2 linked regions of the Stegostoma tigrinum genome follow. The protein of the gene in region 2 interacts with the protein of the main gene of each other region in a biochemical or structural test. Links are inferred from orthologs where the notes say so. Each region holds a gene or a part of one and is shown on either strand. Other genes may lie near its edges.

Region 1 (7,110 bases), on a different chromosome or scaffold from region 2:
TGTCAAAGTAAGTGGTGGAAGCAAATAGAATTACAGCACTTAAAAGGCATCTGGAGGGGTATATGAATAGAAAGCATTGAGGGATATGGATCAAATGTTAGCAAGTGGGGCTAGGGCAGATTGGAACATCTGGTCAGCGTGTACAAGTCTTAGAGGCAGAAGGAAAGGCTACAATACTTAATGTGTTCTTCATTTTAGGGTTTGGGAGGGAAGAGTCAATGAAATATCAAAAAGAGACGGAATCAAAAGTGAGAAACAGGAGTTACAGGAAAGAATGACCATGCTTACAGTAGATAAGTCACTTGATGCAAATGCCTTGCATCCCAGGTTACTAAAGGAAGTGAGGCTGGAGTTAACAATAGGGGTCACCATGCACATCTCAACTTCTCCAGATATGATGGAGATGCCAGAGGACATGATCAGAGAAAGCACGTTTACACATTCAAAATAACCACAAAGGTCAGGTTATGTCAAAGGTAAGACTTTAGAAAGCAAGCAAAGAGGTTTGATTATGGAGAAGCAGCACAGATTGGTAAAAGATTGTGTTTGACAAATTAATTGATTTTTTAAAATGAGGTTAAGAAGGAAAACTGTTGAGGGGTTTACAGCAGATGTCTTCATGAATTTTAGGAAAGCGTCTGACAGAATATGAAAAAAATTGCTGGTTAACAAAATTGATGGTCATAGAATAGGAGGGTCAGTATCAGCTTGGCAAATAAAATGGCATAAAACAACAAATAGTGATAAATTGTTTATCCAACTAACTGTGGGATGGTAGGCAGTGCTGTTTCTCATGAGGCAATGGTGGAACCGCTGCTCGTTCTCACATTCTTTGAAACAAATGTCGTCAATACAGGAATGGAGTCAGATTTCAATATCAGCCAATGATAGCAAACTAGGAAGAATGGTGCAGAATAAAAGTGATACCAACTGATTGCAGTAAGACAGAAAGAAACTGACAATTGCAGATGGAACTTGGAGAAATTGGAGTGACGCTCTTTGGAAGTTGGAAAAGACAGCAACAACTTAAACTGAATTGCACCATTCTAGAAGAGTGTACAGGAACAAAAGAACCTAGGTTCACTTGCACAGATCTCTGATGGCGGTGTAACGTACAGACAGTACAAAGTTATATGGGATCTTGTGCTTTAAAAATTGGAGGTATTAAATATAAAAACAGAGAAGTTACACTGAACTTTTAGTGGAGCTCTGGTTAGGCCACAACTACAATATGGTGTCCAGTTCTCAACACTTCACTTTAGGGAGGATATGAACGCCCTTGACAGGGTGCAGAGGACATTTACAAGAACGGTTCTAGGGGATAGGAATTTTAGTGATAAAGTTAGGTTGGAAAAGCTGGCATTGTTCTGTTGGAGCAAAGGTGGTTCTACAGGGATTTAACAAAAGCATACAAAATTATGACAAGTTTAAAGAAAGTAGACAAGGTAAATCTGTTCCCACCATCTGATGGTAAAGGATTAAGGGACACAAATGACGTTTTGGGCCAGAGTTAGAGGGGGATGAGAGGACTTTTAAAAAAAAAATATAGCAAGTGGCAAGATGTCTCCGTGGATGGTAAGCAGAGGAGGTCCAAGATTTTAAAAAGAAAGCAGTTGAGCACTAGAGGTATATAAACTTGCAGCACGAAACAGATACAATTAGTTAACGGAATGGACTAGATTGCTCTCAAATAGCATCAAGATGTATGGGTACTGGAGTCAAAAATAAAATCAAATGTCTGGAGAGACAGTTATTCTTAAAGAACAAAATCATCACCCAGTCTGTCAAGGGAAATGAGCACCAAATACAGTGGGTCAGAGTGAAGAAAGTGCAAGTTAGTTGCTGCTTTACCTGGAAGGGGTTTTTGGGCTTTTGGGCAGTGAGGAGAGTCAAGGTAACGGCAGATGCCACGTGGTTGCATGGCTATCTGCCATGTTGAGTTGAGGGGGGCAGTCAAAGAGACTTGTGGGAATGGGGCATGGATAGACTGAGATGTCCAGTGGATGGGGAGACAGATGGAAAGACATTGGTGGAAGAGATATTGGAACTGGAAATGGGGAAAGATGAAGAGGTGTTGAAGGAAGATAAAGTACTACTGTGGGCAGGGGAGTGTGTGAAGATGAAGTGATATTGTGGGGAGGGGAAGAGAAGATGATGAAGTGATACTGTGGGAGGGAGGCAGGGAGGAAGATAAAGTGATACTGTGGGTGTGCGAGGAAGATAACGTGATACTGCGGGAGGGAGGGGGGAGATGATGAAGTGATACTGTGGGTAGGAGGGAGGGTAAGATTAAATGATACTGTGGGAGGGAGGAGGGTAAGATTAAGTGATATTGTGGGAGCGGGGACGATGAAGTTATGCTGTGGGGGGCGGGGAGAGTTAACAGATGAAGATGTTGGGGGTGACGGAGTAGTCGACCAGAGAGACGCAGAGGGAACGGTCCCTATGGAATGCCGACAGGAGCCTTCTCTAAGTCAAATCTCGTTACGAAAAATCCAGAAGGCACAACACAGCAGTGCTGCACAAGCAGGGGGTTCCACAAGTGAAATCCCAGTAGGAGGAAGCGGGGCTGAGCTTGGAGACAGCAGTGTAGACGGATCCAGTGCACACGAGAAAGCCACGCACCAGTGGCCTTAGGCCGGATTCGCGGAAAATGCTGTGCCCCCTGCTCCAATTTACATCCGAAATAACAACCTGGGGAGGCCGCCAGTCTGAAAACAATATCCCAAATGGGCGGGGGCGAACATCTGCACAAGAATTGGTGCAGGAACGGTACGAACTTGTACAGGGCGAGTAAAAGGAAAGAAAATGTGAAATGAAAACAGCGCCTCCAAAATCCCCGCCATCCAAGAGAGAAAATTTACATCAACTTCTGGCTGAACGTCCGACTACGGGCGGTCTCTTATAATACAGTTGAACCCCCCCAGTTTGCACTAAGATCCCTATCATGTCTAATACATACCGCCCCATATCCAGGATAAGCCATACTCAGAGTATAAAGGACCGAACTCCGCTACAGAGACAGACAGAGAGCTGCACTTCCTCTTCCCCAACTCCGAGCAACATACGCCAGGCTCAACCATTACCCAGAGCACTGGGGGTGGGAACCGTAAAACTCCTCAGAATCAAACAATCCTCACACACAGGACGTTTTCAATCATTACAGAGCGTTATATTTGATTCACTCAATTTCATTTTGACGGGCATGATTAGTTGATCCGGGCCTGTCTATGTTTCACCCCGCCGTGTTTCCCCTCACCTCTTACCCCCCTCCCTTCACTTCCGGAGTTGGTATCTCTCCCACCATGTATCGGGTGTGGTTTCCCACAGCCGCTGCCGGGGAGCTTAGGGGAATGGCATGTACGTTTGTTGAGTGGATAGCCTGTCTCGGGGAACAACTTTCGGATATGTCTCATGTTGTGGGATGATGGTTTTTTTTATTTCGTCGTTGCATAGGAACATCTTATGTTTAATTTAAAAAGTATATGTTGGAAATAATCGATATGTTTTGTAGAGGGAGGGAGAACATACGCACGAATTTTGTTACAGTTAATCTACATCTGTTTTGAGGCTGGATGCCTGAAGGGTTAGCTTGTCTGTCGATTGAGCATTTCCATCTGTTTCTCTCTGTTTGGATTTTCTCCATTTCAGTTTTTATTTTACTTTTTCTTGAGTTTTAATTAGCTAAGACAGTCCACTTCTCAGTATAAAACGTGTTCCTAGGGCTGGTGTTTTTATTATCTGGCCATAGAAACAATTTGGCCTACTCAGGCTCTTCAGCGTGGTGTGTATTTAGTTGAATTGTGGCTGATCGCTTCAGATTCATTTACCTGCCTTTGCTTTTTAGTGCTCGTACAAAATGAACTAACGATCCATTTTAAAGTTAATTGATTCGTGCAGCACAGAAGAAGCCCTTTGGACAAGTGAAAAGCACCTCATCTTTGACCTAAGAGATAATGGGAACTGCAGATGCTGGAGATTCCAAGATAATAAAATGTGAGGCTGGATGAACACAGCAGGCCAAGCAGCATCTCAGGAGCACAAAAGCTGACGTTTCGGGCCTAGACCCTTCATCAGAGCCCGAAACGTCAGCTTTTGTGCTCCTGAGATGCTGCTTGGCCTGCTGTGTTCATCCAGCCTCACATTTTATTATCTTGGATATAAACCTAACTTGATGAACCCTTAGTAAGATTCATCCCAGAAATGAGGCATGAACTTTCCTTGAAAGGCTTCTAAACCATTTATGCACTTTTTTCAAATAAGGAGAATAACACTTAGACAATATTCTAGTTGTGATCTCTGCCGCACCTAGTACAACCTCTCTCCAGACCTTTATATTCTGTTCCCCTTGCAATAAATGACAACATCTTAGTTGTTTTTCTAATCATTTTCTGTAGTTGCAAACTAAGTTTATGTGATTCTTGGAATTGCCTAAGATCGTGGCGGAGTAGCTTTTCAGGTTTTTTTTGCCTCATTTCTCAGTTTTTTTTTAAACCTATCTCCTATTGTAGGGTTCAGTTGAGGAGTTGGTATCGGTGGTGAACGGGCTGTGTGTAAACGCGAAGTGAATCCAGCATGGATTTACAGCAGTCGGCAACTAAGCCCAGCGTGGACACAAAGTGAGCCCAGTGTTTCTGCATCATCAAAGTGTTTTAGTTCCGACTCATGGCTGCTGTGGCAGAAGTGAATTTAGATTCTCGGTGGAGTCTGTATCGAGCGCAGATCTGTGGAGGCTCAGGCGAGTTTGGGCCCAGTATGAGCCCCAGCATCAGTGGCTACAACAGCACGGTGGGGCCAAAGTGGACTCATGGCAGCAGGCAGGGTCGAGAGTTTGGGCTGGGTGTGGCACACAGGTGGTAGCTGTAATTGTCGAGTTCCAGCAAGGACTCATAGCGGAGGGGGCATTGATGGAAGCGTGATGGTGCTGAAGATTTGTGACTCTTGTTCCAGGGGATAGGTCAGTCCGGGGAGGATGGACAGGTCAAGGAGGCGGGATGAGGTTAGCAGGTGGGAAATTGAGGTGAGGCTTGAGGTGGGAGGAGGGGATAGGTGCAAAGAAGAACAGGTTAGGGAGGTGGGGACGTGCTGGGCTGGTTTTGGGATGCAGTGGGGGGAGGGGACGAGCTGGGCTAGCTTTGGAATGCGGTGGGGGAAGGGGAGATTTTGAAACTCATGAAGTCCACATTGATACCATTGGGCTGCATTGTTCCCAAGCGGACTGACCTATCCCCTCCCTACCTCCCCACCTATACTCTCCTCCTATCTTCTCCTCTATCCACCTTCGGTCCGCCTCCCCCTCACTCCCTATTTATTCCAGAACCCTCTCCCCATCCCCCTCTCTAATGAAGGGTCTAGGCCCGAAACGTCAGCTTTTGTGCTCCTGAGATGCTGCTGGGCCTGCTGTGTTCATCCAGTTTCACACTTTGTTATCTTGGACCACAATATGGTGTCATGTGACCTCTGACTTTGTCAACACTAGCACCCCCACATGATGACTGTCAGCCGTATACATGTGACAACAAATAAATAAAAATGTACAAGGACGTTACGGTTTCTCTAACATGGAATGTTGTTGGTTTTATCAATCAGGACATTGTGATCAGGAACAAGAAGGTTATGTTGAACTTGCACATTAAGCAATGGTTTGTCCTCAACTGACTTATTGGGTTCACTGTGGGCAGAACACTTACAGAAAAATGTGAAGGTTTTAGAGAGAGCAGAATAAAAGTCACAAGAATGATCCTCATTGATGAATTTCAGTTCTGTTAATGCATTGGAGAAGTTGGGATAAATTTCCTATTAGAAACCCGCCTGATCGCATTACTTGACAAGTCTGATCCCAGACTGAAATCTTGCTTTTAATATGATGACCTTTAACTGAAACACAAAGATACCATGCTGCAGTTTAACCATAAGACAGAAATATATTGTGCAAAAGAAATGATGATAATGTGGAATAAATACATTTGCTTGGAGCACAGTTTTAAAGATTTCAAAATACATGGTAGAGTACAAGCCATTAATCCCAAATGCAGTCCTTCTCAGTGCCCACGCCAGCGAGAGACACCCTTTTACTTTAATATCTACAGAGCTTAATTTAACTATGGTATCAATTCCCCAACTTGAAAATCTAGTAGCCTATTCCTGGAGGCTTCATACAATTGAGCGTAGACATTCTCAGCTTCAAATAACTCCTTCAGAGTTGTGACCAAACACTTCTGGGATGGGACATTTGTCAAAAAAAACTCCTTTTGCTGAGTTAACCTATTTCCTAACACTCCTAAACAACCTCCCTTTCTTAGGAGCAACTGTTGTACACATTTAGCTTCAGCCAAGGTTTCAAACAATTGCCCCAGATGGAAACTAAGAAGCTTTTATTTTCTCTGAATGTTTCCCCTAAATTCCCCCAAAATTACAGAATCTTCTGTCTGAAAATCTAAGAGATCATATTGTTTAATTTGTTCACTCAAAATCCCCAAAGTAAACAAGTTCGGATTAGACTCTCTGAACTAGCTCTGTCAGACTATTATAAAATGTAAAATCACCATGGCTGCAGAAATTCCTACCAATTCATCATCAAATCCTACAGACACACTGAATTATACTCCAAAATTATACATAGATCACATATTTTACATCACACTTGGAGAAGATTGAGTATACATTTGATTGATGTACTCATACAAAATGTAGAAAATAGGAGGAGTAGGCCATTTGGCCCTTTGAGTCTGCTCCATTTTTCAATATGGTCATGGCTGATTACCTAACTCAACACTGTTCTCCCTTTCTCCAATATCTTTTGATCCCTTTAGCCCTAAGAAATATATCTAACACCTTGAAAATATCCCATGTATAGCCTCAACCCATTTTCTGTGACAGAGAATTTCATTGGCTCACCACTCCCAGGGTGAAGGAAATTTCTCCACATCTCAGTCCTAAATGGCCTATCCCATATCCTTAAACTGTGATCAGAGATAATGGGAACTGCAGATGCTGGAGAATCCAAGATAATGAAGTGTGGAGCTGGATGAACACAGCAGGCCAAGCAGCATCTCAGGAGCACAAAAGCTGACGTTTTGGGCCTAGACCCTTAACTGTGATCCCTGGGTA
Region 2 (7,090 bases):
TCTTATTGCTTCAAGTGAAAATTCCTCCAAGATCTCCAGGCAATGCATTCCAGGCCTAGCCCATAATCAGAGTTCTTTTCTCGCCCACAAACAGCATTTCAACTTTTGCAAAACATTTCAAGTCTTTGCCCTCTTATTCTTGATCCTTTCATGAACAGGAAAACACTCTCCCTGTTTACTGAGTCCAGCTTCTTCATGATTTTGAAAACTTGAATCAAATCAGCTCTGTCCATCCAAGGTGGATAGCCCCAATTTATCTCAACTAGCATCATAACTGAAGTGTCTCCATTCCTGGAATCGCTGTCATAAAACTCCTTTGAACTCCCTTCACTAGCTTCCTGAAGTGTGGCACCCAGTACTGTACACAATGTTCCAAGTGATATACACCCAACCTCTGATTAAGTTCAGCACAACCTCCCTGCTCTCATAGATAAGACACAGTCTATCAGTTGACAGATCAGTTTGAACCAGATAGATGGAACAAACGTGGCTGAAGCACTGCTGTTCGTGAACACTACATAAGCTCCATGTTAATCCAAGTTTAGGTCAGGGCAGACTATAGCTCTGAACCAAATCTTTAATCAGCGACTGGAATATGGCTTCATTATACTGGTGTAGTCAACTGAGACTGCAGCTAAGGCAGGACGAAGGGAACTTTCTGTACCTGAGGTGGTGTGTTTCGGGTTATAGATTGAGAGCTGTTATTGCCTGTTTTATCAGTCAATCTTACAGATACTTCAGGTTTGGAAGCACTTCATTGGGTCTGGGTAAACTGCAGCTCCATGTTCAGTCAGATGATTCAGGACAATTAACACTGGCAGGAAAGCAAACACAGGGGACATCAGAATCCGATCAAGTACACTCACAGAAAACATCTATGTTCAGACATCAGCTAAGAGAGGTCATGCAAGATGTTTGCTCAGTAGACTCCCAAATTTCTCCCTCACCAACTAGAAGTCCATGTGGTTTCAGAGCCAATACAGAAAGGAAAGATAACTTTACTCTGATGTAAAATTCAGAACAAATCTGTATTCAGCATCCAAAATAACTAAAACTTAGTTTCTAACACAAAGATTAGGTTTCACATTTGGGCCGAGTTTTGGTGCTGCCTAAACATAACACTTGCAGGAGCTTCATTAACAGCGTGGCTGCATAGTTGTTTCAAATTTGGGGAAGTGGGAGCGTTCAAAGGGGAGCAGATGGGAGATGAGGGGGCCAGGACAAAGTGGAATACCTGGAAACCATGGGCAATCCGCCTACTTGCACTTCTGTGGGCTGTGGGAGGAAATCCACGCAGGCATGTGAAGAACGTTGAAACTCCACAATGACAGTTGCCCAAGGGTGGAATTGAACCCAGGTCCCTGGTGCTGTGAGGCAGCAGTGATAACCTTTGAGCCATTGTGCCACCCACAAAATGCTAAACCAGCATTCTGCTGTTCAGTAAAGCAAAGGTTAAAGATCCACAATCATTCCATAGACATAGGCCATTTGACCATTACACCTGGGCAAGCTCTGTGGGCAATCTAAACATTCTCCTGCTCTTACTGCCAGCCCTACAAATTTCTCCTTTAAATTAACTATCCAATTCTATTTTGAAAGATACATTTGAACCATTGCTTCGAAGCAGTGTGTTCCCAGTCATAACTCACTGCATTGAAAGAAATCTAAACTACTCCTTTGGTGTTTTTTGTCAATTATCTTAAATTGGTCACCTCTTGGTTATCAATTCTTTTATGTGCCATCCCTTAGTGTTATTACTGTCCTGAACATGACCAATATTACTCCCTTATACACCTGCAAAAGCAGATTAACTGGTCTTTAACCAGTACTTGAGAGATTTGGCAGTATACAAAGTGTCAACTGAGTTTGTTGACATAACAAACATAAGTAGACTTCAAAAATAATTCACTGAAATTGAGGCATTTTGAGATGGTTTTGAAATAATAGCCCTGCAATCTTCTCCCGGCAAGAGCGGAGAACAGGCTCTTTGAGCAAAGGGGTGCAATTAGAAGATGTACCACATCAGAGACTGACAGGTCCATGAGCATGAGGTTTACAAACTGAGTAGTAATTCCTGACTGGCCAAACATTTAGGGCAACCAGCTTTCACAAATCTGCCCAAAAATTGGCATTACCAGACAATATTACAACATCTGCACATTCAATGTCATCACATGATTTTGTTCTAATGCCACAGACGCAGATGTTTGATGTGGGTTCAGAAAAACAGTGCACTAACTGCACCCCCACCCCCAAATCTGTCCCATTCCAGAATCCAGTAGGCCTTAGCACCCTGAGCCAAACCCAGATATAAAAAGGATTCGACTACTTTATTCCTGACACACTTGTGAAACAACACCACATGAACTATTCGACCAGATCCTGTCAGTTAAATATTATAACCTGTGGTGAAGTGTCATAGTTACAGACAAGTTGCCTGCAGTAACTGTAATAACCAAAAACCACCACAATCTGTACTGGTTATCGTTACCAATACTGGAATGAGCAACGCCCAGCACTAGTCAGTGTTAAAGAGCCTGATGTCTTATAGCCCGGAATCCAGGCTGGGCCTCAGCGCCTCACAACAGCCCCTGACCCCGCCAAAGCCTCGAATACACGTAAATAACAGTCTTGGATGTGTAAGGGATGCCCTTGGTTTGTTTGGGAACAATCACACGCCAGCGTTTTTGTTTCCTTGACATGCTACCAAACAGAACCGAACGGCGTTTATAACTATGTCTACATTCATAATAAGATTTATTTTTTTATGAATAAAGCATATTTTTGAAATTAGTTACAGCAGCACTGGACCCCTCCCAAAAGGCTACGAAGATGGTCCAGACCAGGGGCCGGTTCTCACAGCTGGCCCCGGCCATACGCTTCCCGCCCCCCACCTTAGAGTTGTAGTCCACCCCTCCCCTACCCACCCTGACCCAATCCTCCTCTCCGCACCTTTACCTCTTCGGCTCTGGTTCAGGCAACGACTTCAACTCGAAGGCCCCAAGATTCTCGGCCAACCACAGCTCTGACCACCGGCACCCAATCACACGCAGAGATGCTTAGTTTCAGCCAATCGTAACAGGAGATATCCCTAGGCCAATCACAGTCGGCTGATTGGGAATCAGAGACCAACTGGAGCCAAGACTGCCCAGGCCTGTAGGCGCAGGGATCCTCAAATGAACCAATCACAGCCCGGTTTCGCTAAGGCCGTAGCCAATCAATGTCGTGGCGGGCCGCGCCCTCAGACGCAAGCTGGGTCCCTCCCATCTCAACCATTTAGTCCCCCCATCACCTCTACTCCATCTCTACAACTTAACTCCCACACCCCTTCCCCATGCTCCCACTTACCCGCCGCCACCCCTCCACCATTGCCCTACTTACCCCCCACACCTCTCCCCACTTAACTCCCACACCCCTCCCACCATCACCTCCACTTACACCCTCACAACCATTCCCCTTCGCCCCCACTTACACCCTTCCCCCATGCTCCCACTTACCCCTCACACCCATCGGCCCCACTTACCCGCCCGCACCCCTCCACCATCGCCCCCATGTACCCTCCACCATCACCCACAATTACCCCCCACACCCCTCCCCATTGCCCCCACTTCCCCCAACACCCCTCCCCATGCTTTCACTTACCCCCCACACCCATTGCCCCCACTTACCCATCCACACCCCTCCATCATGGCCCCGACTTAACCCCACATCCCTCTCCCATCACCCCCACTTACATCCCACAACCATTCCCCATCACCCCCACTTCCCCCACACTCAACACTTCCAAATACCCCCATACCACTCCCCATCACCTTCATTTACATCCCCATTGCCCCACTTACCCCATCTCTCCCACTTCCACACTCCCCCATCCCTAACACTGCTCCCCATCATACCCGCTAACCCTAACCCATCACTCACACTTACCCCCCACACCCCTCCCGCACTTACCCCCATCTCCCCCACTTACCCTCCACACCCCTCCCTCATCACTCCCACTTACCACCCCCATATCCTACCCATCACCCCCACTTACCCCCCTCCCAACTTATCTCCACTTCCCCATCACCCCCCACATCCCATCCCCATTGCCCCCACCTACACCCCACACTCCTCCCTCATCGCCCCCATTTATCCCCTACACCCCTCCCTCATCACCCACACTTACTGCCCCAACATCTTTACCCCATCGCCCCCACTTAACACCCACACCCCTCCCACATCTCCCCAACTTCTCCCCATCCACCCCCACACCGCTCCCCATCAACCCCATACTGTTCCCTATCACCTCCACTCCCATCCACACCTTTCCCCATCACCTCCACACACTTCTCCCCATCAACCCCCGTGACACTACTCCCCATAACCCCCCACACACTGCTCCCCATCACCCAACCCCCCACACTGTAACCTATCACCCCCCCACACTGCTCCCTATCACCCCCACATAGTGCTCACCATCACCCCCCACACACTGCTCTCCATCAACCCCACACTACTCCCCATCACCCCCACATAGTGCTCACCAGCACCCCCCACACACTGCTCCCCATCAACTTCCCACACTGCTCCCCATCAACCCCACGCTGCTCTGCAGCCCACACTTCTTCCCATCACCCCCCACACACACTGCTCCCTATCACCCCTACTCCCCTGAAACTTTTCCCCATCTGCCCTTCACACTGCTCCCCATCACTTGCTGTTCCACCCACACTTCTCCCCATCATTTCCCATACACACTGCTCCCCATCAACTCCACACTGCACCCCGTCACTTGCACTGCAGCTGACACTGCCCCCATCACCCCCCACATAGTGCTTCCCATCACCTACACCCACTGCTCCCCATCACCCTGACACATTGCTTCACATCAGCTGCCCAACACTGCTCCCCATCACCCACGCACAATGCTCCCCATCACCCGCTCGCACTGCTCCACGTCAATCCCCCCACACTGCTCCCCATCACCCCTACTCCCCCAAACATCTCGCCATCTGCCCCCACACCGCTCCCCATCAACCCCACACTGCTCTCCACTACCCCTCACATGCTGCTCTCCATCAATCCACCCCACACTGCTACCCATCACCCCCCCCACACACTGCTCCCCATCACCCAACCCCCCACACACTGCTCCCTATCACCCCCACATAGTGCACACCAGCACCCCCCACACACTGCTCCCCATCAACTTCCCACACTGCTCCCCATCAACCTCACGCTGCACTGCAGCCCACACTTCTTCCCATTACCCCCCACACACACTGCTCCCTATCACCCCTACTCCGCTGAAACTTTTCCCCATCTGCCCTTTACACCGCTCCCCATCAACCCCACACTGCTCCCCATCACTTGCTGTTCCACCCACACTTCTCCCCATCATTTCCCATATACACTGCTCCCCAGCAACTCCACACTGCACCCCGTCACTTGCACTGCAGCTGACACTGCCCCCACCACCCCCCACATAGTGCTTCCCATCACCTACACCCACTGCTCCCCATCACCCCTCCCACACTGCTCCCCATCACCCTGACACATTGCTTCACATCAGCCGCCCAACACTGCTCCTCATCAACCCTCCAACACTGCTCCCCATCACCCACACACAATGCTCCCCATCACCCGCTCGCACTGCTCCACGTCACTCCCCCCACACTGCTCCCCATCACCCCTACTCCCCCAAACATCTCCCCATCTGCCCCCACACCGCTCCCCATCAACCCCACACTGCTCCCCACTACCCCTCACATGCTGCTCTCCATCAATCCACCCCACACTGCTACCCATCACCCCCCCACACTGCTACCCATCACCCCCCCCACACTGCTCCCCATCACCCCCCCCACACTGCTCCCCATCAACTCTCCCCCACACCGCTCCCTCTCACACCCAGACACTGCTCCCCATCACCCCCCCCACACACGGCTCCCCATCAACCCCCCCCACACTTGTCCCCATCAACCACACACAATGCTCCCTATCACCCCGCACACACTGCTCCACATCACCCCCACACACTTGTCCCCATCATCACCCACATACTGCTCCCTATCACCCCCACTCCCCCAACTCAAATCTCCATCAGCCCTCACACCATTCCCCATCAACCCCACACCTCCCATACAGCTCCCCATCACTTCCACTCCCCCATACGCTGCTCCCCAGCAGTTCCCCCCCCACACTACTCCCCATCACCCCCCACACAGTACTCCCTATCACTCCCCATAGACTGCTCCCCGTCACCCCCCCCACACGCTGCTCCCCAATACCTCCCACATGATGCTCCCAATCAACCCCCACACACGACATCCCCAATTCCCCTAAACAGTGCTCCCCTTCAGACCCCAGGCACATTTCCCCATCACCCCTAGTTTGTCCCCTACCCACTGTTCCCCAACATCTTCACTTCCCCAGACAGTGCACCCCAACCCCCTTTCCCCCAGACAGTGCTTCCCATCACTCCACTCCCCCACACACTGCTCCTGATCACCACCACTTCCTCCCCCAGGCACTGCACCCGGTCAACCCCACTCCCTTCCTCAGGCACTGTTCCCCGTTACCCCTTATTCCCCCGGACAGTGCTCCCCTTCAACCCCCAGGCACTGCTCTCCACTACCTCCTCCCCCAGGCACTACTCCCCATCATCTCCACTTCCCCAGGCAGTGCTCCCTCAATCCCCCCACTCCCTTACAGATTGCTCCCAATCACCCCCAAGCCCCCAGGCATCTCTCCCCATCACCCCGCCCCAAGGACTGCTTCCCATCACCTACACTCTCTTCCCCCATTCATAGCCCCCATTATCCCCACACCCTTGCCCCATATTGTTCCCCCTGTTACTCACTGCCCCAGGCGCTGCCTCCCATCGCCTCCTCCCTGAGACCCTGATCCCCATTCCCCCCTCCCTCAGACACTGCTTGCCTGTTATCCTGAACTTCTCCTGCTGGACCATTCCCCCCACCTTCTCCCCAGGCACTGCTTCCATCAACCCCTCCCCAGACTCTGCTCCCCTGTCACCCCCTCATAGAGGCATCAGCCTCTTCATAAACCCTTCCCTAAAACACTGTTTCTGCCTTCTCCTCCTCCCCGA

What was found. The genes of interacting proteins can lie anywhere in the genome.
Region 1: the proteins of annexin A7-like (region 2) and sorcin-like interact in a biophysical measurement, tested with the Homo sapiens proteins (2 studies listed by BioGRID and IntAct, with this or other methods). The link is inferred for Stegostoma tigrinum from reciprocal best matches to the Homo sapiens genes ANXA7 and SRI.

What each region holds. Positions count from the first base shown.
Region 1 is NC_081355.1:110,330,555-110,337,664, forward strand, and holds the start of sorcin-like, read right to left. Parts: upstream 3,103-7,110; 5' UTR 2,987-3,102; coding exon 2,963-2,986; intron 1-2,962. UniProt on the Homo sapiens protein: Calcium-binding protein that modulates excitation-contraction coupling in the heart. Contributes to calcium homeostasis in the heart sarcoplasmic reticulum. Modulates the activity of RYR2 calcium channels.
Region 2 is NC_081390.1:1,963,175-1,970,264, forward strand, and holds the start of annexin A7-like, read right to left. Parts: upstream 3,056-7,090; 5' UTR 2,959-3,055; exon of another isoform or gene 2,953-2,958; intron 815-2,952; exon of another isoform or gene 665-814; intron 1-664. UniProt on the Homo sapiens protein: Calcium/phospholipid-binding protein which promotes membrane fusion and is involved in exocytosis.